7 linked regions of the Oryzias latipes genome follow. The protein of the gene in region 1 purifies or fractionates together with the protein of each later gene. This does not show direct contact. Links are inferred from orthologs where the notes say so. Each region holds a gene or a part of one and is shown in the gene's direction. Other genes may lie near its edges.

What was found.
Region 2: the proteins of spast (region 1) and nup107 purify together in Homo sapiens (affinity purification with mass spectrometry; 3 studies listed by BioGRID and IntAct, counting the BioPlex papers as one, with this or other methods). This does not show direct contact. The link is inferred for Oryzias latipes from reciprocal best matches to the Homo sapiens genes SPAST and NUP107.
Region 3: the proteins of spast (region 1) and nup43 purify together in Homo sapiens (affinity purification with mass spectrometry; 3 studies listed by BioGRID and IntAct, counting the BioPlex papers as one, with this or other methods). This does not show direct contact. The link is inferred for Oryzias latipes from reciprocal best matches to the Homo sapiens genes SPAST and NUP43.
Region 4: the proteins of spast (region 1) and nup133 purify together in Homo sapiens (affinity purification with mass spectrometry; 3 studies listed by BioGRID and IntAct, counting the BioPlex papers as one, with this or other methods). This does not show direct contact. The link is inferred for Oryzias latipes from reciprocal best matches to the Homo sapiens genes SPAST and NUP133.
Region 5: the proteins of spast (region 1) and nup85 purify together in Homo sapiens (affinity purification with mass spectrometry; 3 studies listed by BioGRID and IntAct, counting the BioPlex papers as one, with this or other methods). This does not show direct contact. The link is inferred for Oryzias latipes from reciprocal best matches to the Homo sapiens genes SPAST and NUP85.
Region 6: the proteins of spast (region 1) and nup160 purify together in Homo sapiens (affinity purification with mass spectrometry; 3 studies listed by BioGRID and IntAct, with this or other methods). This does not show direct contact. The link is inferred for Oryzias latipes from reciprocal best matches to the Homo sapiens genes SPAST and NUP160.
Region 7: the proteins of spast (region 1) and nup98 purify together in Homo sapiens (affinity purification with mass spectrometry; 3 studies listed by BioGRID and IntAct, counting the BioPlex papers as one, with this or other methods). This does not show direct contact. The link is inferred for Oryzias latipes from reciprocal best matches to the Homo sapiens genes SPAST and NUP98.

The regions. Positions count from the first base shown.
Region 1 is NC_019873.2:27,910,737-27,915,063, forward strand, and holds the start of spast (spastin), read left to right. Parts: upstream 1-1,359; 5' UTR 1,360-1,550; coding exon 1,551-1,671; intron 1,672-1,743; coding exon 1,744-1,827; intron 1,828-1,916; coding exon 1,917-2,000; intron 2,001-4,146; coding exon 4,147-4,301; intron 4,302-4,327. UniProt on the Homo sapiens protein: ATP-dependent microtubule severing protein that specifically recognizes and cuts microtubules that are polyglutamylated.
Region 2 is NC_019881.2:22,230,481-22,234,717, reverse strand, and holds the start of nup107 (nuclear pore complex protein Nup107), read left to right. Parts: upstream 1-1,268; 5' UTR 1,269-1,363; coding exon 1,364-1,371; intron 1,372-3,058; coding exon 3,059-3,138; intron 3,139-3,237; coding exon 3,238-3,333; intron 3,334-3,402; coding exon 3,403-3,497; intron 3,498-3,575; coding exon 3,576-3,711; intron 3,712-3,971; coding exon 3,972-4,075; intron 4,076-4,148; coding exon 4,149-4,237. UniProt on the Homo sapiens protein: Plays a role in the nuclear pore complex (NPC) assembly and/or maintenance. Required for the assembly of peripheral proteins into the NPC. May anchor NUP62 to the NPC. Involved in nephrogenesis.
Region 3 is NC_019882.2:17,710,187-17,714,434, forward strand, and holds the start of nup43 (nucleoporin Nup43), read left to right. Parts: upstream 1-1,284; 5' UTR 1,285-1,402; coding exon 1,403-1,522; intron 1,523-1,703; coding exon 1,704-1,826; intron 1,827-2,742; coding exon 2,743-2,820; intron 2,821-2,903; coding exon 2,904-3,066; intron 3,067-3,136; coding exon 3,137-3,272; intron 3,273-3,367; coding exon 3,368-3,519; intron 3,520-3,597; coding exon 3,598-3,714; intron 3,715-4,248. Other genes in the region: pcmt1 (protein-L-isoaspartate(D-aspartate) O-methyltransferase), read right to left, coding at 886-1,063. UniProt on the Homo sapiens protein: Component of the Nup107-160 subcomplex of the nuclear pore complex (NPC). The Nup107-160 subcomplex is required for the assembly of a functional NPC.
Region 4 is NC_019859.2:2,092,260-2,096,617, reverse strand, and holds the start of nup133 (nuclear pore complex protein Nup133), read left to right. Parts: upstream 1-1,395; 5' UTR 1,396-1,541; coding exon 1,542-1,669; intron 1,670-2,859; coding exon 2,860-2,975; intron 2,976-3,064; coding exon 3,065-3,168; intron 3,169-3,256; coding exon 3,257-3,490; intron 3,491-3,585; coding exon 3,586-3,756; intron 3,757-3,833; coding exon 3,834-3,989; intron 3,990-4,358. Other genes in the region: taf5l (TAF5-like RNA polymerase II p300/CBP-associated factor-associated factor 65 kDa subunit 5L), read right to left, coding at 1-20. UniProt on the Homo sapiens protein: Involved in poly(A)+ RNA transport. Involved in nephrogenesis.
Region 5 is NC_019866.2:13,020,728-13,024,965, reverse strand, and holds the start of nup85 (nuclear pore complex protein Nup85), read left to right. Parts: upstream 1-1,298; 5' UTR 1,299-1,981; coding exon 1,982-2,014; intron 2,015-3,991; coding exon 3,992-4,082; intron 4,083-4,157; coding exon 4,158-4,238. Other genes in the region: sumo2 (small ubiquitin-related modifier 2), read right to left, coding at 1,058-1,078. UniProt on the Homo sapiens protein: Essential component of the nuclear pore complex (NPC) that seems to be required for NPC assembly and maintenance. As part of the NPC Nup107-160 subcomplex plays a role in RNA export and in tethering NUP96/Nup98 and NUP153 to the nucleus.
Region 6 is NC_019864.2:4,331,143-4,334,827, forward strand, and holds part of nup160 (nuclear pore complex protein Nup160), read left to right. Parts: intron 1-2,757; coding exon 2,758-2,866; intron 2,867-3,575; coding exon 3,576-3,685. UniProt on the Homo sapiens protein: Functions as a component of the nuclear pore complex (NPC). Involved in poly(A)+ RNA transport.
Region 7 is NC_019872.2:23,882,535-23,886,219, reverse strand, and holds part of nup98 (nuclear pore complex protein Nup98-Nup96), read left to right. Parts: intron 1-508; coding exon 509-604; intron 605-1,524; coding exon 1,525-1,710; intron 1,711-1,922; coding exon 1,923-2,062; intron 2,063-2,269; coding exon 2,270-2,377; intron 2,378-2,486; coding exon 2,487-2,667; intron 2,668-3,298; coding exon 3,299-3,462; intron 3,463-3,537; coding exon 3,538-3,675; intron 3,676-3,685. UniProt on the Homo sapiens protein: Plays a role in the nuclear pore complex (NPC) assembly and/or maintenance. NUP98 and NUP96 are involved in the bidirectional transport across the NPC. May anchor NUP153 and TPR to the NPC.

The DNA.
Region 1 (4,327 bases):
AAAAGATATAAATCAAAAATAGATTGTTGTCCAACCCAGACCAACACGGACCAAATGTATTAAAGCTAGACTGTTGTCACTGCCAGAATCAGAAGATTACTGAACGCTGTGAAGAACCAGGTAAAAGAAAACTGTAATCAAAGTGACGTCCTGCGTTTTGATTGGTGGTTTCACTGCAGGAGGCGGAGCCAGTCCCGGGAGGGTTGCCATACAATTTCTTGAACGAGAAGAAAAATACATTTATATTTATTACAATATTTAAATATACATATATATTAATTTTATTTATTAAAAAATAATTTATCTATCACATTTTATTTATTTATTACAGAAACATTTTTTTCATTACAGATTTCTTAGACAAAAAACACTACTCATTACAAATTTGTACTTATTACATATGTTTTAATAAAAAAAATATTACTCACTTTTTGATCATTACAAAAACATTTAAAAGATAAAAAACAACACTGAATTTATATCTACCATGATGTTTTTTTTGTTAAACAAAAAAACTACAACAATAAGTTTCTTTACTTTTAGAAAGAAAATGTTCACATTATTCAAATTACGTATTATTTAATTTTGCCTTTAACTGCTTTTTTCCCCACATACTCTTTAAATCAATTAACTTTTCTTCCCTATCTGTAACTTAAAATACAGACTATTAAAGCTCTACTTCATCTAAGCTGTCTTTAACATTTTTATTCTTACTTTTATTTGGAGGTTGTTCAACATTTTTTCAGACCCTGAACAGAAATGTTTTAGTGTAATGTTAATTCAAACATTTTTATAGCAATACTTGTCAAATATAATAAAAAAAATTGTTAAATTCAATTTTATTGGTTTATTATGAGCATTAAAATTAAAGGTATAAGATAATAAAAATCACAAAACATGTCCAACCTGTTTCAGATATAAAGTCATACATTGATTGGAAAATGAAAAATATTAACAAAGATGAAAGAAAATGATGCCATCTTCTTAACAGGTTAAATTCCCTTAATTATAAATGGACTTAATTGCAATAATTTTTGCAGTACACAAAATAAATATTTGATCAAATAAATTTAATGATTGTCAAATAGTTTTATTTGTTGTCTTTCAATGGAGTTAAAATTAAACCGGCAATATTCCGTATCTTTTTTTGGTTGTATATTGGCTGTAGGGTGTTTATATTTAAAGTCGCCTTGAACTTCAAAAATGACATTTTGACATTTCCAAAAATTCTAGGATTTCTAGAAGGGAATTTGTGTGTTATCAATCAAATAGTTAAAAAGAGAATAAAGTTGCTGCAATCTTACGCCGCTCCAGCAGGGGGCGGTGTGGTCAGCGGCAGTGCCTTGAAAACACTTCTCAGAACGAGGGGGCGGAGCTTTCTCCCAGACAGGCGGAAGCTAGCGATGTTTCGGTTTTGTTGTTACCGGATTCGAGTTACAAAAACAAACAGTACCGTGTAAAGTTGAGCTTTTGGGTTAGATGCGGCCCTGTTAGCGCAAACCAACTGCGTTTGAACGGAGAGCAGGGGAGCAGCCGGAACAGTCAGAGTCATGTCTGCTAAAATACAACAACAAGCCAGGGGTAAAGACAGCGGCGAACTGATCAAAAACCACCACAAGCAGGCGTTTGAGTTTATATCGAAGGCACTGAGGATCGACGAAGACGACACAGGTTTGTTTACGGTGGTCGTGTCTCGACAACGACTCTTGTCGACCGTCTGTGACCCGCCTTGTGTGACGACAGGAGAGAAGGGAGATGCTGTGCCGTGGTACAAGAAGGGGATTGCTGAGCTAGAAAGGGGCATTGCTGTGGAGATAACTGTCCAAGGTATCCGTCCGTGTAGCAACCGGAAGGAGGATAGACGTGAACTTAAAACCACTTTACAGCTTTTTTGTGTGCTTTTTTTCTCTCTCCAGGAGAACAGTATGATCGAGCTAAGAGACTACAGGATAAAATGGTAGCCAATCTTACCATGGCTAGAGACAGGCTGGCTTTGTTGGGTAAGTTGCCCTGAGGTCCGAAGTTTACAGTTTAAGTGCAGATAAGAAAAAAAGTCCACTTTGTTCTGAAGCCTGGCTCATTTCAGGTCACATACTAAGGTCAAAATAGTCATTAGACTAATATGTCTCCTGTATTTGATGGATTTGTACAAAATGCAATAGTACTTTCCATGTAAACAAATACAGAGACACAATGGAGAAAAACAAAAATAAAATAAAAGCAACACAAAGAGAACCAGGGGGGTATTCCAGAATGCAGGTTATGCTAGTTACCACGGTAAGTTTGAGGCTAAGGAAGCGTAAAACCTCAGCTTTCGGTTCCAGAAATGGAGGTATGTTTCAGAGTATGTCAAGTTGCCATAGCAACTTATGCTCTGAACATAACCTGGTGTGGAGCAGGTTAAGTTGAAGGTTAGTTTGTTTTCACAGAGGTGAAGCAGCATGGCATTCTTTCTGCACCAGGAGTGAGAGGATGATGAGGTTATTTACCAGCCCTACTGCCAACTGGTGTAGTAAAGTTGGAGAAATGGCAAATAATTTAATGCTATATAGCTATTTTCTTTTTTTTAAAAATGAGTATATCTGTCGGCTCAAACTTAGACATATGAGATATCAAGAAGTATAATAAATTAAGATGGAAAAACAATTAATTGAATTGGAGTAAAATTACATTTAGTTAGATAAATATGTACATTTGAGTTTTATAAAATTGAGCTTGATAGATGTAAAAAATTAGGTTGAATAATTTTAACTTAATTACTTGTTACCAATTGAAGTAATTCATTTAAGTTGGATAAGTTATATATATATTTGCGTCACAATGAAAATAGAAATGAGATAGAAACTTGTGTGTTTACTTTGTCCGTTCTTTTTCTCCAAGCAGAATCTCTCTATTACTTTTTTGATGGACGTATAATCTTCATACGCCGTCATTAAAATCTCAGACTCCGTTTCACTGAAGTGTAGCGCTCTCTTTTTTTTCTCCACGCGTTTCCATGGTGACTCCGTAAATCGGCGATCCATTGAGAATGTCTTTATGTACCTCCATTAACCCAGGGTTACCAATTCCAGCGTAATTATGCTAACTCATATCCACTCTTTTGGAACCGACATACCCAGAGTAAGCAAGTTCAGGTGGATTTCAGCCAGAGTTCAGGCTTAAAGTCAGGGTAGTTTAAACATGCTTCCTGGAATACCCCCCTGTTAGATATGTGTTAATACACTATTATCTATTGTTGTTGTGTGAAAATCACAACAGAACAAAAAAAAAAGAATCAATAAGGCTGAAAAAAGACATATTCATGTTTTGCTGAGAGCTCAGACCAGGAAGCTTGTGGCCCCGCCCAGCGCATTTTCTACGTCACAAATACGATCGTTTGCTTACAGGATTTTTTTCGTCTGCTGCTGCTTCGCAACAATTTGCATAAAGAAATTCTTAACTTTCTTTAGAAAAATGCCACCAGAACATGTTCAAAACCCCAAAAAGTCTTGTTGCTCTAGTTGGGTGACGATGCTTCTGGTCAAACACCAGACATTTGCACTTTGCACACACCTATTATCATGATTTCATTCACTTCTTTGGGATTGGCTTCAGGTTAACCTCTGTCTGACTTCCATTCTCTGAACAGAAATGTTCCTTCAATAATATGTTGTGTTTGTTTTTCTCAAAAACCGTCCTAAACATTAATAAACGTTTTATTGTCCTTCTCAGAGTAACGGCGAACATTCAGCAGATAAATGGATAAAAAATGAAATTCAATCAGGATTTTACCAATAAATATCTCACAATGAACCAAATGTCCCCATCAATGCTTTTGCAGCAAAAGTTGATGATTATTTATCAGTTTTAACCAACACTGCAATTTTATAGATCCTTTCTTTTTTCCACACAGTGAATTGTGTTTTTTGCAGGAATAAATGAGCGACCGCTACTTTTCATCCACTCAGTTCAGCTTTTCTTTCACACTTTCTACACGTTTTTACATAAATGTTTTTGTCAGTTTCCCCCCCAATTATTTCCCTTCCATGCCAATAATTACTTGATCGATACGTTTTTTAATTGGGTGTCATTTAATGGTATTTTGCTTGTTTGGATTCTCTGCTGTTAACAAATCCTCGCTAACTTCTGTTGGGTTTTTGTTTCCAGAGAAGACGTTGGCTTCTAAAAAGAAGAGCAGTCCACCTCCAGCCACTGGTTTGTCTCAAACTAAACCCAAAAGCAGCACTTCATCAGCAGGAGGATCCACAAACTTCAAGCCCTCTTCTGTCGCTAGACCCCAATCCAGAACCACTGACTCAAAGGTGACCTATATTGTAGATTTTATTTA
Region 2 (4,237 bases), on another chromosome or scaffold:
ACAAATGCAGAAGAACGCGGTTCTTTTATTCTGAAATCCCGCACCAGAGTCTGATCTGCGGGGTCCAGGTTCAAATCTGCGACCATCTGATGAATGACCTCTCTGTGCGGCCGTCGCCTCCAATCCTGCCACGCAGTGGGAAAAGTTTACCTGGGGTCTCCATCTTCCCCCGGGTCAAACAGACCCTCTGGCAGCGCTGGGGATCCGCCGGCGGGGGTCGATCCGGCCTCTTAGGTGACCAGGACCCGCTGCTGACCGTGAGAATCTCCTTTTCCGGTTCTCTGAACGGCGGAGATCTCCTTTTAACCGGACCACGAAGCGTCCGGTGTTCCTGCTTTAGCTGAGCTGCGTGAATCGATCACGCAACAGCGGCAGCTAACGGAGCGGAGGGCAGAGCACAAAGATGGTCTATTAGGAAAGACGTCTCACTCCGACCACAGCCGGGAATTGACAAGGGAAAAAACTCCTAATACATCCTTTTAAAAGCGTTTATCCGACACAATTCAACTTCTATGTAGGGAACATAAAGTGTATCTTAATGTATAAAAATATTTTTCAACATGTTTTTTTAAACGGAATTTTCAAATAATACACAATCTTTGAAATCAGACGTATTGAAACATTTTCCTTCCTGACATTACAATGTTCACTCTTGTTAAAAAAGACCCTTTTTTCTAAAAACTTCCTGTTTATTTAATATCAAAATTAGGCACAACTTTAAAGTCATTTAAAAAAAATGCAGGACAACTATTTGATTTGATTTAGATCAAATGCATCATATCATATGGTTAATGTGTTCTTTGTCATTCTGTTCTCTGGATGGAAGTTCAAATAACATCAGCTATTAAAATACAAGTTTAAACAGTTTGGAGTGTTTAAGAAAACCTTTTGTAACATAAAATCTGTACAACACACAAGGAACTCTGTCTTTCAGCAGCTGAACAGGCCAAAGAAATGAATGACTGAATAATCACTTAAAATGTAAATATGACACAATTACACAAATGTGAACTTTTTTAATCAAATAGTGGATCTGAATATCTATTTAACTAAATGAATAAATCTAAAAAACACAAAAAGGCAAATTGATACACAAAATTACAAATAATAGGATTACTGAAAGAAAAGTGAAAATTAAAAGATATGTATATGCTTAATTAATATTTAAATTAATATTTATATTGTCTTTTTTATTTCGTCCTCTCAAAAATAGATGTAATCTAATGGTGAACTCTAGGGGGCAGCAGTCAGCTGACAGGCCTGACAGATTTACCTTAAATTCAAAGGCAGATTCGTGAGAAGAGGCGAAGAAGTAAAAGACCAGAGAAGAAGAAAACATATCGGAGCGGGAATCGGCTCCAGCATGGACTGGTAAAACATTTTAAATTTTTGTGTCATTAATGTGACCAGCTGTGAAACACTGATACGTTCACATTTGTACGGTTCGATCGGTCAGTTTTTGCGTTTTTGTTGTCTCCGGGAAACGTTACAAGAGTCAGATTAGCAAACGATGCTAGCATCAAGCTAATCAGTCAGCTGAATGTCATGACGTCTGTTTAGTCAAAAATAATGAATGATAGGTTTAAAGACCCACTTAGGTTAAATTCTGATCTATTTTCAAAGCGTTCCCAGTGTTTTTATTTTTTTGATTGTGCTGTTTTTTTAGCCAAAAGACAAACACTTGTCGTTCTTGGACACAGTTATACTAGTAGTAGTATGTTCTTCTGCAGAGCGGCAGGAGTTAATTAAACTCCCTCAACTCAGGTGTACTAATGATTAGTACACCTGAGTTACACCTAACCCCACCCCCTTCCCGTCACCCATATTTGAGATCTCTCAGTTGTACAGTTTTGATCCAGATTCCAGCTCAGACGTGGAAAACAAAAACGTTCATGGATCAATTTTTGTCGGCAAATGGATTAAATTCAATTCAATTCAATTTTAAGGGGAAAACTCCCATAAAAACGGATTCCGGAAAAACGAAGAAACCTCAGGGGTGTCCACATGAAGGAGGGATCCTCCCCCAGGACGGACAGGCGATTTACCAGAACTCTTAGAGAAGAATTTACTTATCTAAATCTACAACTACACATTTAAAGTCCAGCAGACGAGCTTCATCCAGCCGTGGTTGGGGGGACAGTCAAAGGCGCGAGTCGAGTCAGAGGCAGGATCCACAGCCAGGTGTAGGAGCAGGAGCAAAGGCGAGGTAGACGGTCAGCAATTGGAGCACGGATGATCCAACTGGAGTCTGGAAGCACTCCCACTCCCCAGGAGGGGAGAGGAAAAGAGTGACAATACATGAATCACACTGCACCAAACAGAGGCATGGAGAACTAAATGATGAATAATGATCAAGAATAGAGGAGAGGAAGGGTAGAAGTAGAAGAGAAAAGAGGACAGAACCCCAGTGCACCATAGTTACCCCAGCTTCAACTTCTAGCAGCCTTTTAAAAGAAAGTTATTAAGTTTAATTTAAACAAATTAACATTAAGTTAAATAATCTCTGAATACTAACTAGTCTGACAATAAGCCTGTCCAAAGAGGAATGTTTTAAGTCTAACTTTGACTGTAGAAACTGAGTCGGCCTCTCTTCCATGAGCTGGGAGTTTATTCCATAAGACAGGGGCTTGGTGGCTAAACGCTCTACCTCCAACCGTACTTTTACTAATTCTAGGAACCACAAGCAGTCCTGCGTTTTGCGAACGAAGTGTTCTGATTGGGTGGTAAGGAACTATGAGATCTTTGATTTAGGACGGGGCCATTCCATGTAAGGCCTTATAGGTTAACAGGAGGATCTTGAACTTGATTCTATAATCAACTGGGAGCCAATGGAGCGAAACCAACACAGGAGTGATGTGATCTCTTGCATTCTCTTGCATTGGATGCATCAGAATGGAACTTGTGGCCCCAAACGGCATATTTGCTACATGATATTTATTATCTTTTTCATTTGGCGCTTTTTCGTCTGTTCCTGATTCACATTGAAATGAAACTAGGAGAAAATTGGCTTTTCAAGTAAGATAATGTATGTTTCTGTTTTGATCTCTCTGACCTCCAGGGGTCAGAATGAGCTTCCGTCTCCGGTGGTTCGAGAGGAGGAGGTGACGGTCGCAGCCAGGAGGAGGAAGAAAGTGGCTTGTATCCTCCAGCTTCAGTAGCTGTGTGTGTTTCTGTGCGTCTGTGTGTACAGTTATATGTCGGGACAGTTTCTTTGTTTCTCCTGACTCTTGGCCTCAGTCCCGTCACCCAGTGGTGGCAGCCCCATCGCTTCTGCTGCAACACCAGCCCGCCCCCACCTGATCAACACTCCTGCCTCGTTGTTCAGGCAGGCCGGTGAGATGCTCACATTCATGTCAGATCTGAGGCTTTGAGCTATTCCTACCTCATGTCTCTGCCTCTCAGTCACCCCCAGGGTTCCAGCCACTTCTTCTCTTTTGGTTCCTGGAGGTCGAACGCCTCGATTCATGCACACGCCCAGAAACGCGCTCAGCAGTCTGGTGAGACCCTGATTAATGTGCAGGGACAGCCGGGATCAGCTGCAGTCTGTAACTCAAACCCGTCCATTGCGTATCTAGAATTTGGACGACAGCGATTGGACCAACAGCTTTTACACCTCGCCCGTGTCTGGACTGGAGAACACCAGCTTCTTCAAAGACGATGCTGCCAACCTGAGCTCAGCCCTGCTCAAGGAGGACGATCCAGGAGATGCAGGTGAGGAAAACAAACCACTTTCATGCCTTCACATCACACGCCAATCGGGTGTCAAATTCGCTGCTCGAAGCTTGTCCTAAAATGTGTTTTTAAACCTGATGTGAAATTATGATGTGATGACAGTAAAAGACTGAATAATTGATGAGAAACGAAAAAGCCTCATTGTTGTTTGAGCAGCATCTCCAGGTACATTTCCCTCTAAAGAAGAAAGCGTATCATTTTTTAATAACCAACCTCTCCTGACTTTGCTTTCTCTGCAGCAGCTGCAAGTCTTTTCCCAGAATTCCTTGCCTCCTTTCTGAAGCACTCTTCCTCTGCGGTGTTTGACCTGTTGGAGGATTATCAGAGCCTCTGCCAGGAGAAGGTAGAGTAGAGCGATGCCTTTGAGCAGATCAGGTTCTGGACGTCACGCTGAGCGGCTCTGCGTCATGTTTTAGGTGAACGTTCTCCAGTCTGTGGTTCTGAGAGCCGGTCAGAACAGTAAAACAGCAGGAGTCCGCTGGCTGCTGCAGCAGGAGAACTGTAC
Region 3 (4,248 bases), on another chromosome or scaffold:
TGATCAGCATGCCTTCTGCATGTGGTCTGCTTCAATCCAAATGAAGTGTGCTAGTCGGAAGCAAACATGTCTGGACTGAGATAAGCAGATATAGAGACTGATGCCCTCCTAAACACGCAGCTATGGGCAAAAAAGCGAGCAATGATACCCCTGACAGCACAGAGAGTATAAATAGAGCTGGCAAATACTTGACAGTGAATGTTGACGCACACTCAAGTCTGCAAATATCGTATTAAATTCACATATTAGCATTAAATAAGTTGATGTACTGGCTTAAAGGCTTATTATGAACAAAAAGGCTAAGTGTCAAAATGACATTACCATTTATTCCGAGTTGGACTTGGCACTAAGTCGCTCTTTCGATGTTGCTAGCTGCTATCGTGACACAGCAAATGTGAATTTCTGTCTCGTGCAACAGAAGGGTGGTTTCCAGAGTCGAGCTTTACGGTTTAAACTGTTCTCGTCAGTGAAATGACAGCGCAGTGGCCAGTGCAGACAGACATCAATGGATGTGGGCAGGGCACACAGCTAGCGCCGCTGCTAACGCTAGCTACATGCTCCTACATGACGCACATACATAGCTAGCTGGCCGGGCTAACATCACAATACACCCTAAATATTTAATGCAAATATTATGTAATTTGGGTGTTTAGTGCTTTTATTTTGATCTAAAATGACAGAAGCGCGCGCGTGTCCCACGGCGTAACGTGGTTTGGCAAAAAAAAAAAAAGGGGGTGGAGAAACTAGGGGCAACAGTGGTTAACAGTTTAAGCAACCAGCTAGCTACCGCACCTGCGCTAACAAGCACGCGCCCGAAAACAGTTTTCCAGCGTCGCGCGGGTGAATTGCTTGCCGATGCCACCTTAAAAACGCTACAAGACTCACTGCGAAGGTTGGTGACAAGTTCTGCGTGACTGGCTCCTCCAGATTTCCAGGCCATTATTAAGCAGACTTTGCGGAGTAAGTAGACAGCAGCTGTCAGTGCCGCGCCTGCGCCAACAGTTTTCCCGATGAAGCTCGCAACCTCGAGCGGAGACGGCGGAGCGGATACGTCACCAGACATCCAAATGATTTTATTACCGGGCCGCCTTTCACATACACTCCCTTTTAACAAAACACGTACAGTTTAATAAAATACAAACCCAATTAGATACGTACTGAGCCCAGTGTCAGTTTAAAGAGGGAATTCCTCTGTCTCTGCTTTATTGGAATTGTTGGGTAATAAAGAAGTCGGCCGCTAGGGGGAAACAGATTATCTATTAATTTAAAGAAGAATAGCACACTGTGATCTGGTCTTCTCGGGCCACCGTAGTTACGTATGAAGCAGCAGGCGCGTAGTTTCTCGTGTAGTCCGTAAACTGAAAACAACACTTCAAATTTTAACAAAAAGGCTTCAATTTCCATGGAGAGCATAAATGCCAAATATGTGTCTCAGAAAATCAGTAAGACGAGATGGTGTCCGGTTTCCTATTCTTCACTGCAACAACCAGAAGTCTTTGCTACGGGCTCGTGGGACAACGAGGTTAGCTAGTAGTACTACTACTAGCGCAAAACCACACAAATTATTAAGATCGCTTGCTAATTAACTCAATTTTTTTTATTAATTTAAATTATTTAAATACACTTTAAAAAATTGTTTTGATTCATTTGTCGTCGTGATTTAAATGTTCACTGAGTTTAATGTGAAACCCGTTGATTTATAGGACAACAAGGTGTCTATCTGGTCCATTGGAAATCACAACAATTCTGGATTAGAAGACGGATTTGAAGGAGACCCACAAATTTTATGTGAGCACAAACATGGCGGAGATGTTCTGGACCTGCAAGTAAGAAACCCAAAAGCTTCTAATGACGGAATCATCGGTGTTGATGTTTGATCTGTGGAGCCATTTCTTTATTTAGGCCTATAAACAAACTAAATGAAAAATAGAAATGAGCACAAAACCAAAACGAAATTTTAAATGTTCCCTTTTCTGTCATTAAAATTATTCAGCATGTCAAATAAGTGTCAGCAGTTATAAAGTCATAAAGATCCTTCAGAAGCTCACACCCAAATGTTTGATCAATTTGTGTAACTATTTGATTACATTTTTGTTCAATTCTTCTGGATTTTCCCACTTTATTATGTTGGATGGTTCACTCAGATATGTGTGTTTTTAACATGTTTTTGTAGCATTTTTCTCATCATGGAGGACAAAAGGATTTAAGCTTAGCACTGCATTTACGAGGACTTTTTTATTTAAATTGTAATGGATAAGGACCCGGTTTGCGATGCAGCAACTGCCATTGGCGGGCCAAAGTCTCCCTGTTCCGCACGCAGACAAATAGATCCACATCCGTCTTTGTTTTCCTTTGTCTGAGCTGGAATCTAAATCTAAACTGTACGGCAGGTTGTTTTTTTTTCTTGTGCTACGCTAATGTTAGATTGGGGTTGTGAGCGGCTGTTAGGTAGCAGGAAAGCGTGTAAACAAAGGAATGCTGGGAAATCATGGTAGGGTCACTTTCACGCTAACAGTCCCATCCACAACCCAGAAACAAATTTCTAATGAGCTTCTGTTGCTCTGCAGAAATTATGTCTTAAGGAACAACACAGGGTTTTTGATTTTTGCTAAAAACTGCATAATCATAATAAAAAAAACACTGGGAATGTTTTTACAATAGGTTTTAATTTTAAATGATTTTAAATGTGTACATTGTTTGGATAAAGTAATTTTTCTTGTTTTTCTTTGTTTCATGTTTTAGTTCTTGGACCAGGAACGGATGGTCTCAGCGTCATCAACGGGAGCAGTCACTATTTTCCGCTATCATCCAAACACTCATGTACGTTGTTTCTTTTCGGTTTTCTTGAGGAGAAAACAAAATGTCATGTTTAAAAACGGGTTTCCTTTTTGTTTCCTGAACAGACCATTTCAGTTCTGCAGCACTGGGCGAGGGCGCATAGCTACCCTTGTGACAACGCGCCCTGCACCGCCTTGGTCTGCAGCAGCCCGGAGATTGTCACTGTCGGGGAGGACGGCAGGATCGTGGTCTTCAGAGCCGACCAGGAAGGAGCGGTCCGGGTCATCGGTGAGATGAGGACTCGGATGTTACCGCCTCATCAGGAGTCGAGTCTAAAACTGTCCGTTGTGTTTGTTAGAGAATGCAGACAGCAGCACAATTCACGCGGTGACTTACCTGAAGACCACGGAGGTTTTGACGGTGAACTCCATTGGCCAGCTGAAGCTGTGGGACCTCAGGCAGCAAAGCAGCTCCCCATCGCAGATTCTGTCCCTGTAAGAGCTCTGAAATTTGATGTATTTATTATTTTTTTATGTATCTTTATCCTTTCAGAAACACACCTTTACTTGTTTGTCTTTTTTTCCACCAGGTCAGGAGACAGAGCTCCTCTGCACTGCGTTGACAGACATCCCAACCAGCAGCACATCGTAGCCACCGGGGGCCAGGACGGCATGCTCTGTGTGTGGGACGTGAGACAGGGGGGCACGCCCATCTCACTCATGGAGGCACACTCGGCTGAAAGTCAGATCCTTTCTTTATTTCACTTTAAACATATCTCTGGTTCTGTTTCACTAACTTTCCTTTGGATTTCCTCGTCAGTGTGGGAGGTTCGCTTCCACCCCACAAACCCGGATCACCTGTTCACGTGTTCGGAGGACGGCTCGCTGCTGCACTGGGAAACTGCCTCGCATTCCGAGATGCCCTCATTCTTACAAGGCAAGTCGTCATCAGTGAAGAGGCACTCCGATGAAAATTTTGTTTTTTGGTGTTTCCAACATGTTCTTTTCTTTTTTCTGATGATGGAGGCAGTTTGAAAAAAAAAACCCAGCTCGCTGCTCAGAGTTCTTAGCAGCATAATCATAATAAAAAGACCACAGGGAAGGCTTTTACAATGGATCCAAAGATGATTGGAATTGGAACTTTAAAAAGAGAAAGCCATGGATCAGATTTGAAGCTTTTATCTTTATGCATTCTTCTTTCTTTATGTCACTTAAAACACACAGGGTCAAATCAGGATCATCTCAAATTGACTGGAAAACCAGATTTTAAAATTGAAACTCTGAAATACAGCTGTCACTGTTTCGCAAAGGTGGTTTGGCAGAGTTTTAAACCAGATACCCTTCCTGTACTTATTCAGGCTAGTGTTATATGGGGGCGGGGCTTTGAGCCCATTGGTTACCATGACATGATTGATGTTGTGTGATAGAGGTCATGACAATGTCATTTCCACTTCAAAGGAGGGATGACTCG
Region 4 (4,358 bases), on another chromosome or scaffold:
TCAGTCCGGACCCTCTTCATGGCCTGAAAAGTCCACAAACAACTTTTGGGATATTTGTTTTAATCCAGTCAATTATAAAATGATGAGGGACTTGAGAGTCAGTTTTTGTGGAAGATGATGTTTATTTACAGCAGCAAAGCCCCCAACAGTTCCAGTGGCTAAATATTTACCAAATCAATATTTAAATTCGTGAGAACTGACTGAAAATTCTGATCTTGGTTTTAAAAAATCGGAAGCATAAAGACTAAATAATCCGGTGGTTACTCTGGAGGATTGCACTAAAAAACTGAGCTAGCCGGTCAATTTAGCATTAGCCAGTAGGTGGCTCTTAATAGTGACGGGCTTTTTCGTCACTAACAGCTAAAAATGCTACTCACTGCATATCTTTTTGTCCCGTTCCGTGAGCAGATAATTCTTTAACGATGGTCCGGTGTTCCCGTTTGCCGTTGGTCCGCCAAAACTACGCCGCTGAATTACAGTGGCGCCCCATCGTGGATACCCGCCTATCTTCTCCCCGTTCTTGCATCCGAAATGCTAAACTAGCTAGCCGCTATGTATCTTCGCTCCATTGCTTCTGCCTGGCGGTGACAAACTAATAAATCGAAGATACATGGATCTTGTTTCTAAATTCTTGTTTTTAAAGTCAACCTTCTACAAAGGTTACTATTATATGATTCCCTTTAACTTCAGGCTCTGATTTGCAACAATCTTGTTCTCTACCTTTAATTAAAATATATATAAATATATATATATTTTTTTTTTGTGGTTTCAGAATATACATATGTGGGCAAAATACTTTTTAACCAATAAAGTGAAAGAAATCTCATTCAAACTAATCCATAAATTCTATCCAACCAAACTATATCTGCAAAGGTTCAAAGAAGATATTGATGTTGCCTGCTCTTTTTGTCAAGAACACCCTGAAGATGCTGTACATTTATTTTGGTCATGTCCCTTCTCCACTACTTCTTGGTCTAAAGTTTGTCATTTCATTTCCGCCCACATTGACCCAGACTTTCGCCTGTACTTAGAAAATGTTATGTTTGGCATCACCCACTGTCCATCTCATAAAAAAGAACAGTTGTACTTCATTAACCTTTTGTTGTTTTTATGCAAATGGCACATTCATAAGTCAAAATTTACGAATCATACCCCTCATTTCTCAATCTTTATCAATGAGTTCAAACAATACATTAAGACAATAAGAAACTCTGATAATAAGAACGCCATCAAAACATTAGATCTGTGTGTTAATTTCAATATATATGCATAAAATGTATTAACCCCCTGGCTTGTTCCTTCGTTGTTGTTGTTCACTGTTTAACATTGTTTTGTATTGAATTTTTACATTCAATAAAGTTTGAAAAAAAATACATATGTGGGCGGGACTATAATGACGTATTATTCACGCGACTGTACCGCGCGGTGTTTGGTTCGAGGGATTCAGTTTCTGTTTTTTGCTCTTTTATCGCGTTAATAGCTTTGGAGACAAACTAGTAATACAGTTTCGGAGCTTTTGGGCTGTCAGGGGGGCACAAAGTATGTTTAGCCCCAGAACTGTTCCAGGTTCCGGTCGCCGGCCGCAGGGCCGAACCCCCGGGAGGAAGAGCCTCTCTGGGCCGGCCAACAGCCTGCTGTTCTCCCCGCGCAGGACGCCTCTGTCGGCGAGGTGAGTGGACTGTCCGAAGAAACGGCATTCTGCTTGAAACCCGGCTTTTGATTTTACATTTCATATAGTAATTTAGTTCAATTGACCCGGATTCAAACACTTAAACACAGTTTACTGCTACAGAGGAGACGCACAGGTGGGGGGAAATTCACAATTTGACATTTCTGACTCATTAAGTTCGTTATTTCAGATATTTCAGTCACTGGGCATCAAAACTTTAGATTCCATCAGAGGATTTATGCTTGTTCTTTTTCTTTTGTCACCCCCGAAATGTGTGTTTTTTCTGATTTTAAATGAATGGAAAACATGTCAGAATTATTCAAGACTTTTAGCAAATGTTTCTTTTAAAAGATTTCCCAAAAGTTTTTATATTTAAGCAGATTAATGGCTGGGTTAAAAAATATATATATATTAAGTCAAAACACTTTTTGTCAATTTTCTAATCCATGAATTGTTTTGTAAAATGTAGAAATGCCTTACATTTTTGAAAATAAGACTTATTGTGGTTTAGAAACATTAAATTATGTGCAAAATGTTTTTGTAACGAAAGAAATAGTTTTAAAAATGACACCTTGGAATCTGAACTGTAATAACATTATTATTCTTTTTTGATTTGCTTTAAAATTTAATTGACTTTTGGATTTTAGCATCCTTTTACATTTTTGATATTTCACTTTTACTGATATTTTAAATGGTCCTCATGATTTTTATGTAATATGGAAAAGAAAGCCTTATTTGTCATTATATGTGAAATTTATTGAAATTCAACTACATCTGTTAAATATTTTATAATCAAGTTGTTGTTTTTTAAATAACTTTAAAACATCTCACCCTAACCAGGTACTAAATATTTTCCTTTTTGTTTTTTTTTTGTTTCATTGTTTGTTTTTTGTTATTAATTAGTTTTTAATTTTTCAAACAGAAATGTATTCAACTAATTTAGCTGTTAGTTTTATTCAGCTTTTTTGTGATCAGTTTTTCTATCCGTGTTCTTTGAGTGATAAATAGTTTTTTGTGCTGTAACCCTCAGACTGAGGAATTACGCGTCTATTCGATCAGGAAATGTATTTTTTTTTCTATACTTTCATTTTGGTCTTCATGCAAGACCACAGACTTCTGTGACACATGCGGCGAGCAGAAGGTCCCGCCCAGACTGCTTTGTTTTGATGTGAGGCGTGTTTCTCATGCAGGTCTACTCCCACACGCGTGCAGAGCCACGCAGCCGCAGAAACCATCAACTATGACGTTCAGACATTCGGTTCCTCGCTGCCCGTCAAAGTGATGGAGGCTCTGACCATGGCTGACGGTGAGAGAAGCCTCTTCTCTGCCTGGAGTGGAGGTTTTTTTTGTAATTCAGGGTCATTTTTCTCAGTCTGTTGGTGTTTTCCCCTCCAGCTGATGAGCGCATCTCCGTGAAGGTGAATGAGAGCGGATGGGCCTGGATGGTTTGTGGAGAAAGTCTGATCATATGGAAGATTTGCCAAACCGCCGTCGCAAAGGTGTGACGCACAAACTCGACAACATACTCTGGATGGTTTCAAACCCTTTCTGACTCTGACATGTTGGGTTAAACACTGTTTCCTGCAGTTATCCGTTTGTAAGGAGCTGCAGCTGCCCAGCAGTCAGTACGATTACTCCGCCGACCTCGTGGCCGTGACCTCCGCCGCTCCTCTGGAGACGGCTCTTGTTCAGTCCATCTCTGTCCTGGCGGTGACGGCAGAAGGATCGGCTCGTTTCTGGCCGAGTCTGGCCCATGAGGGAAACTACAAGGAGTCAGATGTGGATCTGGGAGATCTCTGCAACTTTGTTGTTGCCGTCAGAGTAAGAACTCTTTTGTCCTGGTTTGAATCTTTAGCTTCACTCCTGAAACAGACGGATTTTGATGCTCTTTCCTCCACGGCCTGTGCTGCTCTCAGGGTGGAAGCTTCGTTTTGTCGACCGTCAGGAATCAGCTGCTGAGGACGAGTGCCGATTCCTCTGGGAAGCTGCAGCATCGAGCTCTGCAGCAGGGTCAGGGCATGCTGTCCGGCATCGGACGCCGCGTCTCTAGCCTGTTTGGCATCCTGTCCCCGCCAGCCAATGACACTGTGAGCTCCATTAAGAGTCCCTCCATCTTTTTGCAGGAATCCTTGCATGTCTGCCTCACACTGCTGTGTCTGCTCAGCTCCACAGCGTGCTGTGGGTGGAACAAACCAGCTGCCTGTACGCGCTGACCTCCTCCAGCCTGAGCAAGTGGGAGGTGGACGACAGCTCAGAGCGGCACATCTTCAGCTGGGACACCCGCAGAGCTCTGACCGAAAGCATCACCGACTCCATCTGGGTCAGTCAAACCTCCACGCACAGTTCCAGCAGCTGTTATCAGAGCTTCCTAACAGCAATACGTCACGCTGTGCTGCATTGACGCCGAACACGATTCACGTGTCAGATTGGCTGCTTGACGCCTGTGTGGAAGGAGCTACTGTTCAAAGTTTTTAGCCTCGTCGCTTCATGGAAGCATCAACTGAATATCACATTTACTGCAAGACGAGGATGATGCTGAGAGATCAGGTTGATTTATTTTGAAGCGCTCTACAAAATCATCAGTAATCGTGTCTCCATGTCATTTTTCATGAGATCATTCAGAGATTCTAACAGTACGGCGAGCTTCTCCATCTAATGCAGGAGCTGCGTCTTTCAGTGGTGCTTCTGT
Region 5 (4,238 bases), on another chromosome or scaffold:
TCTTTATTTCTTCATACCCTGACTTTCTCGCAGATGAGCTCTGCCTCCGTCTGCCTCTCATCTTCATCTCTGAATAGTTTTCTGACCTCGTTGCTGTTCCCCCGTGGTCATACAGTTCGGCAGGACGCACCTTGAACGTCAGGTGCAGCTCGATGGTTTCTTTCTTTGTTTCAATGCTCAGAGCTTTTCTGACCATTAACACACCTATTGATAGGAACCATTTTTCTTGGGGTTCAACATTCAAAATTTAGAGACTAAGAAAAAAAATTAAGAAGACCTGTCCTCCAATTAAGAAGACCTTTAACTTAAGGAAACACGATCCAAGACACACAACAAGTCACACCTATGTACCTGGATTTAACCATTCTGTTGTACCAGAAAAAAGTTAATTTAATTTATTTATTTACAAAAAAGGTTCGTTTTGTGAGGCAAGTGGGTTGCAATGTTTATCATGCAGATTGTTTGTTCTATAGTTCTTTATGTTTGTCAGAGTGGAAAAATAAAAAGATAAAATACCAGAATTACCAGGGATAGAAACATAATTGTAGGCCGTATGAAAAACAGATGCTAAAAAACACGTATTCATTGTTAAATATTAGTTTCAAGTATTTGAATATTTTATTTTTGGTATCCAGTTGTTATAACCCGTTTTCTTCAACGAGTCAAGCCAAAGTGTTGCAGACTGACTAGAACAGTTTAGTCTAGAGACTAAATACAAACAGTTCGTTTTCTTGTTTATTTTTTCCATTCTGGTGCGTCATTACAAAACACAGACAACTTAATTACCACACAAACACAACGCAAGAAAACCGCAAGATTTATAGAGAACGACACCAGCTGGTTGGCGGGATGTAATCAGCCTAAAAGCGACGTGCGCGCCAGTCCATGCGCGCTCACATACCTTCCGGTCCATCAAAGTAGGTACAGTTGAATCTTATCACTTAACTTTTTTATTTAAAAAAATACGAACAGCACACGCGGGAATGTAAATTCACCTTTAAGATCGGCGATCCAGTTAATTTGTAATAGCATCGTAATTGACAATGGGGTCACTTACCTTTGGTTTTTCATCAGCCATCGTCACTCTTTTGGCGCTTCTCTATGCTACCACACAAAGAATATGAGTGCGCGCACGTACTCGTTCCCGTTTAAATTATTCGGGGAAACGTGCGCGGGCATGTGTCAATGCGCGTTCACTGAACAAGGATTTAATTGGCCGCATGAAGTCACGTGGACTAAAGCGCAGTCTAGTTATGGGCGGGAGACTACCGCCTGCGCGTTACAGAGATACTCGGCTTCACATGCACGCGCACGGCAGAATTTTTCCCTTTTGTTTTTGGTTTAGGTCTATTATATACGAAGGAAATCTGTTCATCGTCACGCCGAAGACTAGTATCAGTGCTGCACGTTTCATAAAGCGCCCATATGATCGGTATTAGATGTACAGCGTGATATATTAGTACTCTCCTTATTTTAACCCCTCATTATAGCCCAGTGGCCATCTTGGTTTTTCTTTCTTTTTTTGTTACAATAAAAAACAGGCACCGACTAAACGACAACATTTACCGATATGGCGATATATTTTCTAAGATAGCTAACTTATATAACGTTTTAATGTATATTAACAATATGATACGATTGTATCTTCCTGATTCTGAGAATATGTTACACGTTTTCGGAATAAAATTACTTCGACTTTTAAATGTATATCGATTCTAAAGATAGTGTTATTTGCTTCAGTCATGTCAGTTTTCTTGACGTAGATTAAAAGTAAAAGAAAGTACTGTACTTGCAAATTTAAAAAAACAAAAAACAAAACAGGCATTAAGTAGGACAGTCCTACATTTGACGCATGCGCGAGATAGTCGTAGAAAAAGAGAGGCGCGCAAGCGTTGCTATATTATAGCACGTGTTAAATGGCATGATTAAGGTGAAAAAGTTCATAGTTTGAAATTTAAAAGGATCTAAAAAGTTTCATCCGATGGAGGAGGTAGACGTTGAACCGACGATAACCGTAAGTCTTTCGTACTATGTAGTTTATTGTTATGCGCTATCGAATAGCAGCTAACAAGTTAGCTAAGCATTTTGAATTTTGTAAATCCTAAAATTCGGAATAAAAAAATACACTAGTAGTTAATGATACAAACACAAAAGTTTATGATGAAATGTTACGGACCGACATTACGAGTTGGAGGTTTCGTAGCTAAAACAATGTCACAGTTGACATGTTCTTGGATATAAAGAAACAAACTTGGAACAATGGTTAGAAAATCAAAATGTAACGTTATTTTTGTCTTCTACGTTTTGTTAAGTTATTTTGTGCTTTGTCAAACAAAGAAAGGTAAGTCTTTTCCTGGACATTTTTGAGTCCAGTCTCTGTCTTAATGTCAAGGTAAATAAATATCCTGTTGCATGTGTCCAATGGATTAAAACTAAGAAAGGCAAAAGAAAACCATAAGAGTGTTGGTTGTAACATTGCAACTAATAGGCAATAAATCGAATGTTGTTTGAAAGCCAGGACATTTTAAAATGATTTTATTTTATTTAAGCTTTGTTTAATAGGGACAGTGCACATTAATGAACATCTACCAAACAATGATTATAGGCGTAAACATGCTGGATTATAGCAATGATGCTAATTTGCATCCCTAGTCCCTAGGCAGGAAACATAAAACAGGACAAAACAAAAGACACAGTCACAGATACAATAAGAACACAAGAAAGTGGTACATTATGAGAGTTAAAAGTCAGTGGTTACAGGACTGGTTTGCTTTCAGCCACTGCTTGAGCTGTGTTTTGAAGGTCTGTAATTATTGACACTCCCTTATGTACAATGGAAGACTGTTCAAGAGTTTACTGGCCTTTACAGAAAGAGCGTTTTGTCCAAAGGCTGTTTTTCTGTGTGGAACCTCACAGTCCCCTCGAGACGAGGCCCTAGTCCTGAGAGCGCTGTGAGACCTTATTTAAAAAAAGTCAGACATGGGAGGCGGAGCAAGTCCATGTAACACCTTGTACATCAAACAAGCGAATTTAAAATTTTTAAAATTCTCAAAGCTCAACAACTTGTACTTTTTCAAGATATTACAAACATGGAATGACATTGGTTTTCTATCTAAGACCTTAAGTGATTGTTTTATAAAGTGATTCTATGGTTTTGCTCGTATTTACACCCGGCAAGGACCAACATGTAATACAGTATTCAATATGTGATAGAATCATTGAATGCAAAAACATTCTAGCAGCTCCAAGTGAATTTTTTTAATATGGCTCTTGAAGCTCAGAGTTGAATCAAGTGTCACACCAAGATACTTAAATTTAGATAGAATTTCTAGTTCCCGTTCTTCCAAAAATATACCTGAATGCTTGATGTCCACTGGTTGCTTAGTGAACATCATACAAACAGTTTTAGTTGTATTTAACAGTAAGCAAGATTTAGAAAGCCATTCATTTACAGGAACCAGAGCTGAGGTAAGAATAGAGGCTGCTTCTTGAATATTTTTTGCGCTAGTGAATATGACAGCATCATCAGCATACATTTGAAATTCAACATTACCACATGTGTTTGGCAGATCATTAATATACATAGAAAACAATAAAGGCCCAAGTATTGATCCCTGTGGTAGACCAACAGGGACATCTAAGAGAGTTGATTTGACACTGTTAATACAATCACACTGTTTTCTGAATTCTGGATATGATTTTATCCACTGAATTGAGTCCATAGAAAAGTTAGACAAAAGAATCTCATGATTCACCGTGTCAAATGCCTTATGATTGTAAAGAACGTACTTTTGCAGGATTTTCAGTAGATATTGATTGAAAGTCTTTTTTTTAAATATAAGGAAACAAAACTTAGTTAGATTGAATCCCAAAAAGCTTTGCTACAAGATAGAAATGGTCAAATAAGCACTTTAGTGATGTTCAATAATGTTCTATTGAATGTTGCAGAGATTATTACAATTGGAAATCTGTGTTATCACTCTCAATACAGAATATTCCTGCACTCAGAAGAGGAAAGCATATGGGCTTTGCATGGGGTCAAGGTAATATCTTTGTCTATGAGACCCTCTTCAAAGCAACAGGTATGTGTTAATTTCAGTTTCAATACTTTCGCAAGTCTTCTTGCTTTGTTTCCTTTCTATTGTCTTGTGTTTCAGGTGCAACAGGATCTGGTTCCCCCTTCATCCATGAAGTCCGGAAAGATGAAGACATCTACTCTCCTATTTTGCGCAAACTCT
Region 6 (3,685 bases), on another chromosome or scaffold:
CCCACACATACCGCTCATGTACCCCCCCCCCCCCCCTTCCCATCAAACATAAAGCTGTAAATCCGCGCTCCGCCGGTCCACTTCGCTAGTTAAGTGCAGGAGCGGACCACTTCTTTTCTATTTTGCTTGTTACTTTTTCTGTTAAAGTCACTTCCCTCAGTTTATACTGGATCATTGCGGATTAACCATTAGTTGGGAAATAAAATGAAAAAAGCAAAATAACGAATAGCAGTTATATAAGAACGAAAAATGTAAAAATACCCCCCCCCCCCCCCCCGACGATGTCATCGTCCATCCCGATGGTTGACAGCAAACATCGTCAACGGCCAAATTAGGGGACATCGCCCAACCCTAAATTCAATACAAAACAATGTTAAACAGCAACAACGAAGGCACAAGCCAGTGGGTTATTATTACATTTGATTATAAATCTGACACCGTCACTGAAGAGAGACTGAAGCATGTCAGAGATGTGGAAGACATGGCAGGAATAGATAGGAATATGTTGGATGGAGTAGTGGGTATAATTAGTAGTATGGACAGCAAGATATTTAATGAATGCATTGAAGATGAAACTGTATCCACTAAGCTTTAAGATGAATGTCAAAGAATCAAAGGCAACTCCAAATACCTGAATCTCAGACTCAAATGCAGTAGAATGTTAAACTACTTAATTTTGTTTTTCTTTACAACACTGTAAGCAGTAAGTATTTCTAGTTAGCTGAATGATCTCAGTTATTTGATTCGTTAAATGGTTCAAGCTGCCATTAGATTGTTTTAACACATTTAAGGTTTATGATTTATTGCGCTATTTGCCGTTAGAAGCACCATGAAAACTTCTTAACTAGTGTTACCTACTACACTGCAGTGCTCTCTTCAAAACATCTGAAACAGACTAGAGCAGATTTAAGTTTGATATGGTCTATTTTCAGTCATTGAAAAGTGTAGAAATAAGTGATGTCACCAGAATGCACCAAATTGCACCATATTAAAAGTTTCCGGGGGGGCATGCCCCCGGACCCCCCTAAAGTTGCAAGCACCTGCGGAGCGGCGGGTCTCGCTGTGCGCGGTGTCGGGCCAGTAACTTTCAGGCAGGGCCAGTAAGTTTCAAAAACTACTGGCCCTGTGGGCCAGTGCAAATTTCTGGGCTATGTCAACCCCTGGTCTGAGATTCAGGTATTTGGAGTTGCCTTTGATTCTTTGACATTCATCTTAAAGCTTAGTGGATACAGTTTCATCTTCAATGCATTCATTAAATATCTTGCTGTCCATACTACTAATTATACCCACTACTCCATCCAACATATTCCTATCTATTCCTGCCATGTCTTCCACATCTCTGACATGCTTCAGTCTCTCTTCAGTGACAGTGTTGGATTTATGATCATCGCGGTGAAAAACCACCAGGGGGCGCGCTGATATGTGTGTCAGTTCAAATATATCTGCCTAAAATGTAATAATAACCCACTGGCTTATTCCTTCGTTGTTGCTGTTTAACATTGTTTAGTATTGAATTGTTACATTCAATAAAGTTTGAAAAAAAAAAGTAGTGAGCGCGTGCCGCGTGGTGCTCGGCAGTGAAAGCCGCGCGCGCAGGCGGGAGAGGAGGAGAAGTGATCAAAGGTTTCCCATAGAAACCCTTGAAGTCTGAACACAGGACTAGCAGAAAAAGTGAATTATAAAGACGAGGTAAATCTACACGTTTTCGCAAAATATACTTTATTGAAAAAGATGAAAAATGTATTAATTGTTAGATATTTTAGTGGCCCGAGCGGACAAGTAAAAAATAAAGTCTTGTGGTCCGTACTGCTCGAAAAACAGGACCGGGCCAGCGGACAAATGGCTATGTCGAGCCCTGGAACTTGACGGACCAGAACACAACTGAACTGTGGCTACTGATCTGTACAGATCACAGTTCAGCCGTGATCCATTGCATCCCTGTTGGGTTTGAAGGCCTTAGGCCGAGCGTTAGTAAGGTGGGACAGTGTGAGGTGGGTGAGACGGCGTCAGAGTAAGATGAGCGTCAGGTGAGCGTGACACATTGCCGTCTTCCTGATGGATCATTTGAGCTCATTTGTTCTTTTGCATGTTTGAATGGATCCTCAGGATATGCAGCCACCGTTGATGGTGGGGTCTGCTGCCCTCTGAAAACAGTACAGCCAGCTCTGCTGAAGGGCTATCAGGGGTTCGATTCCCTCTGAGGAAGACAGTGAGATTAGGAGGTGTTGCTTTCTTTTTATTAAAATGGCTTTTATATTTTTGTTTTTCATTAGTCGTATATGTAAGTAGGCCACATGGGAAATGTTGCAGCAATGCTGAATCCGTCTGTGGTGTTCTGCCGGGTGCCTCTCTTTCTCAGAGTCTCTGTGCTGAGGGTCTTTGAAGGTGGTGGTGGGGTTTCACCATGTCGACATGGCAACAGGGTGGAACACGAAAGGAAAAAACGGGAAAGGAAGCTTTACCGTTTTTGTGAATGTTTATTTAATAGAAAAAACACCCTGTAGCCGACTGCAGTGTCTGAGCAGACATGGCCCTTGAGCAAGCTTTGGATGTTTGTGTGAAACCCTTTAAAGGAGAGAAGCTGTCTGTTTTTCAGCAGTGTCTGTCTGAAAACAGAAGGAACCTTACATGATCCTCTTTATAAAAGACTGGCGTTCCTCTTGGTAGTTTGACAGCCTGGTGCGCTCCTGACAGCTTCTCCTGGGCCAACCTGGAGGTGAAGCAGCATCTGACCCCACCTGTGTTTCCTGTTTGCAGGTGTTAGCTGTCTCCCTGGGGGGTTGAAGGTTCCCGACAACGCCGGAGCCTTTCATTATGAGGAGAGCGGCAACCTGTCGACTGTCACCAGCAACAGATTTGTCCACTGGTGAGCATCTCTGTCTCTACTGATGGGTGTGGGTGGGGGGTGTTTATACAGGGGGGTGTCTCTGTGGTCTAGTCCTTCCCATTGACTGTATCTGAGAACTGGAACCATTGTGACCTCCTCCATAGAAAATGATTTACTCTAACCAAATGAAGTGAATTCAGTCACCATTTTTTGGAGATGCAGAGGCCACCATTGCCGCGGCCATCATCAAACCAGAAATTTGTCAGTAAGCAATCAGGAGTAAGCTTGTTGAAAGGCCACGCCCCTACCATTTGCAATCACGCTATTCAAAATTAGCTGAACCTTTAAAACGTTGGATGTGGGGCCAGTAGGCACTACCTACCTTTACTGAGGCATCTGATTGGCCTTTTTAACTTGAATAACTTCTAATACAGAAAGATTATGATTTAAAAAAAAGATTATCAAGAAGATGTTAAAAAATGAATCGGAGCAAGAATGGTTATTCTGACCAATAGAATGACTGAGGAACAGCTGTTTATTTCTCTATAGAAGTCTATGGGATTTTGGCTTCTTGGAGCCAGCAGGTACTTCCTGTTTGGAATGCCACAGGGGAGGGGTCACTCAGTCCCAGATTTTCCTGGTCAAGACCTCTTAGTTTGCTGGTCCTAGACTGAACTGTGATGGGGATGTCCATGCTGTCCACGCATGATCAGTCAGGGTCTCTGGGTTACGCTCACACTCGTTGCAGGATCACGTCGGGAGACACGGTGCAGCTGGTGGAGGAGTCTCTGGACATCAACCTCCTGAACAATGCCGTCAAGTTCAAGTTCCCCCACTGCTCTGTCCTGCCTGGGGGGG
Region 7 (3,685 bases), on another chromosome or scaffold:
CCGTGCGCTTCCTGAAATGGATTCACCACAAGTCAAACGTTTTGATACTGAAGCAAATATTATCAGTGTAAGATATTAATATTTGGTCGCCAATCCCTTGTCTATTACATGCCAAGCACTGCTACAGCTGTGCTTATAAGTCGGATGATATCATCAAATGTGTTATATTATGCATTTCCGTGCATGAAGCATTTTGGTTTTTTTAATTTCACATATGATGCCGCTTTATAAATATTCAAAGAACTGAAAAGTGCTCCCTTTCAACCAAAAGATTTTATGTTCATCAAAATGTTTGTTTTTTTAGATGCACAGCAGTAAGTCACCACACACGACAAACTCACAGCTCTTATACAGTTTTACCAAGTAGTCTAAACTTGACAATGTACAATATAGAACTAAAATGCTGAATATACGTGTTCATGCCAACAAGTAACCAGTCCTTCTTTCAGGTAACTGAAAGCATCGTTTCTGCTGTAACGACTTCCTCTTTTGTTTTGTGTTTCTACAGACACAGGTTTTGGGACAACAGGAGCTTTTGGGACATCTGCATTTGGGGCAACCACCAACACAGGAGGACTGTTTGGCTCCACCCAGAACAAACCTGGTTTGTGTGCTTTCCTTTGGTTTCCTTATACGATGTGTGGGCCATGCTGTAGAATCGGCATCAGAATACTTTTCTTCACAATGAGGGAAAATTGGTTCTTGTTGAGCTAAAGGCTTTAAGTTCAGGAAAAAACAGTTCTGATAAAAGTTTGGGATCTGTACTTTTCTTCTTAAATGTTTTTACAATGGAATATTCATTAGAAGAGCATGATTAACTGACTCATTTCAAGAAAGACATTTTCAAACATAGCAGGTAAAGGCCAAAGGGGCAGCAAAAAAGATGCAGTGTTGGAAGGGGGAACGACTTGGTCAGAGATGCATGATGTTAAAACATGATTCTGAGCCCAAAAAGTCAACAACACAAAATGTGAGGAACAACTCCGGCTAACAAGCTGTTAAAACCGTTCCCATAGTATTGAAACCCTAAAATACATTGGATATTTGCGGACAGACAGACAAACGTTAACTGGAGTGTCACTGGAGCTGGAGGTAGCAGAGATGAAGATGTTGAGGTTCTCTTTGGGAGAGACCAGGATGGATCAGGAATGAATCCATCAGAGGAACAGATTATGGTAGATGTTTGGGAGATGAATGCAGGGAACCAGATGGAGATGGTTTGGACAGGTTTCGAGGAGGAACAGTGAGGATGTTGGTGAAAGGATGATTTAGTCCAGCTGGGACCATCACAGAGATCCCTGGTGTCCAAAAATAAAAGAACGTTCACTTCCAGTGAGGACGTCATCGTTGACCTCCTGACTCTGTCGGTCACACACTTGTCCTCTGAATGCTCTGATGTCAGACTGGCTTAAATCTACAAAGAAAGCGATCTTCTGGCGAGACTTGCCTGACTTTAAAGTTGTCTTCCTGTGTCAACGTGATGAACTGTTTATTCATCAATGCCTGTCCTGCTGCTTCATTCAGGCGGCCTGTTTGGATCCAGCACCTTCAGCCAGCCACCTACTTCCTCCACGAGTACTGGCTTTGGCTTCGGAGCAAACAGCGGCACCTCCACCAACTTGTTTGGAAGCACTCCAACAGGCACCAGTAGTGGACTCTTCTCCCAACCGAACAATGCATTCGGTGCCAACAAACCTGCCACCTTTGGTAGTAAGGATCCTGCAGACTCTTTGTTCTTAGAGGTTCATCCACCCATCTGTTAGACTGAACAGTGGGAGCTGCTGCTGGGAACCATGAAGATGAGAATATTTGAGAAGATCAGTGTTGTTGTCAGAGTAGCATAGTCATCTGTCTACAGCTTTAACTCCCCTCTAACTGCTAGAAACGTACAGGTGCTGAGCTCTCCTTTTTATGTCCCTCAGGCTTTGGAACAAACACCAGCACCGGTGGGCTGTTTGGGTCAACCAATGCCGCCCCCAATCCCTTTGGGGGCTCTAGCTCCATGTTCGGAGGCTCTGGGTTCTCTGCTGCACAGCAGCCAGGAACCACGGTCAAGTTCAATGTGAGTGCAAAGCTCTGCAGGAACTGGTGCATCATGGGTAGTTGTGGAGCTGGATTTCAACAGCCAGTTCTTCATTCATGTTTTCTATATTTTCTTTTTCAAACAGCATTTTATCACAGTTTTGCTTTTTAAAAGCTTTAAAATCAAACTTCACTGATGCGAAATGAACCAAGTGTCTCAGAATGAAAACGGTTTTTGTTTATGCAGCCTCCATCAGGGACTGACACTATGGTGAAAGCAGGTGTGACCACAAGCATCAACACCAAACACCAGTGCATCACGGCCATGAAGGAGTACGAGAACAAGTCCCTGGAGGTGAGTTTGGACAGATCTGTGCCAACGAGGGACAGTGAACCTCTGACCTGAGAAGGGTTGTCTTTTACTCTCAGCTTGAGTTTTGTTTCTGCTTCCTGTGTTCATGTAGGAATTAAGGCTGGAGGATTACCAGGCGGGGAGGAAGGGCCCGACCAACCCGATCGCGGCAGGGACGGGTGGTCTGTTTGGTGCAGCCACCCCCACGTCTAATGCCACAACGGGTCTCTTTGGGCCATCCACCTCCAACAACAGCTTTGCCTTTGGACCGAATAAAACTCCGTTTGTATCCAGTAAGTGATGCTGCACCTCGCTCCAATGTCTGTGAGTGGAGCTGATGCAGAGGGCAAAAATATACATCAGATGATCACCGAAATGATAACACAATCTGGAGGGGCTTGGTGTGCAGACGGGGGATGTAATGAGCTCTAAGCAAAGCACCACACCCCCTCCTCAGTTTGTGTTCAACAACTCAATGACAATTGGCTTAGATGGGTCCAAATTGAATATTTTGTACTACAGATGAAACGATAAGAAATTAGTTTTTAAATCGCTAACATTTATATGGGAAAATTATGCTTTAAAGGCTGAACCTCCTCACCTGAAAACTGTTGGAATAGGTTTCACAGAAATGTCCTGCATCTGTTATGCACATATTCTTAGCTGCCTATCCAGAACAAATTAAATTTCACCAGACAAAATAAAAGGTGCATGAAAACGCCAACCTATGATACATGTATCTGTGTAAATATTCTGTTTTTATTTATTTATGTATCTCCTGTCCTAATTTGCACATGATCAGTTCCCCTCATCTGCATCTTAAGGCGCTGATCAAATCATACCAGGCGTTTTATCCAGATCTCAATCACAAACGTTCAAAGCCCTTCTGGATTTGAAAAATGCTCCGTATTTGTCTCCTGCCAGCGGCGGGTGGGTTCGGGACAACCACTGGGGGTCTGTTCAGCCAGCCCAACCAGCAGACCACCGGCAGCCTCTTCAAACCCTTCGGTGGGTCGACCACGACTCAAAGCTCCACCTTCTCTTTTGGCAACACCAACACCATGGGTCAGCCTAACACCAGCAGCATGGTGAGGGTCCAGGCAGCAGCCAGCGGGTCACTGAGGGTGGTTGGATTTTTCTGAAAAATGTTTGCGATTCTTCAGGGCATGTTCGGAAACACTGCGGCTTCCCAGCCGGGGGGTTTGTTTGGCTTGACGCAGACCAGCACAGCCACAGGATTTGGTACGGGCACTGGATTGTTCGGACAACCCAGCTCAGGATTTGGAACTGCTGGAACGCAGGTAAGAACTA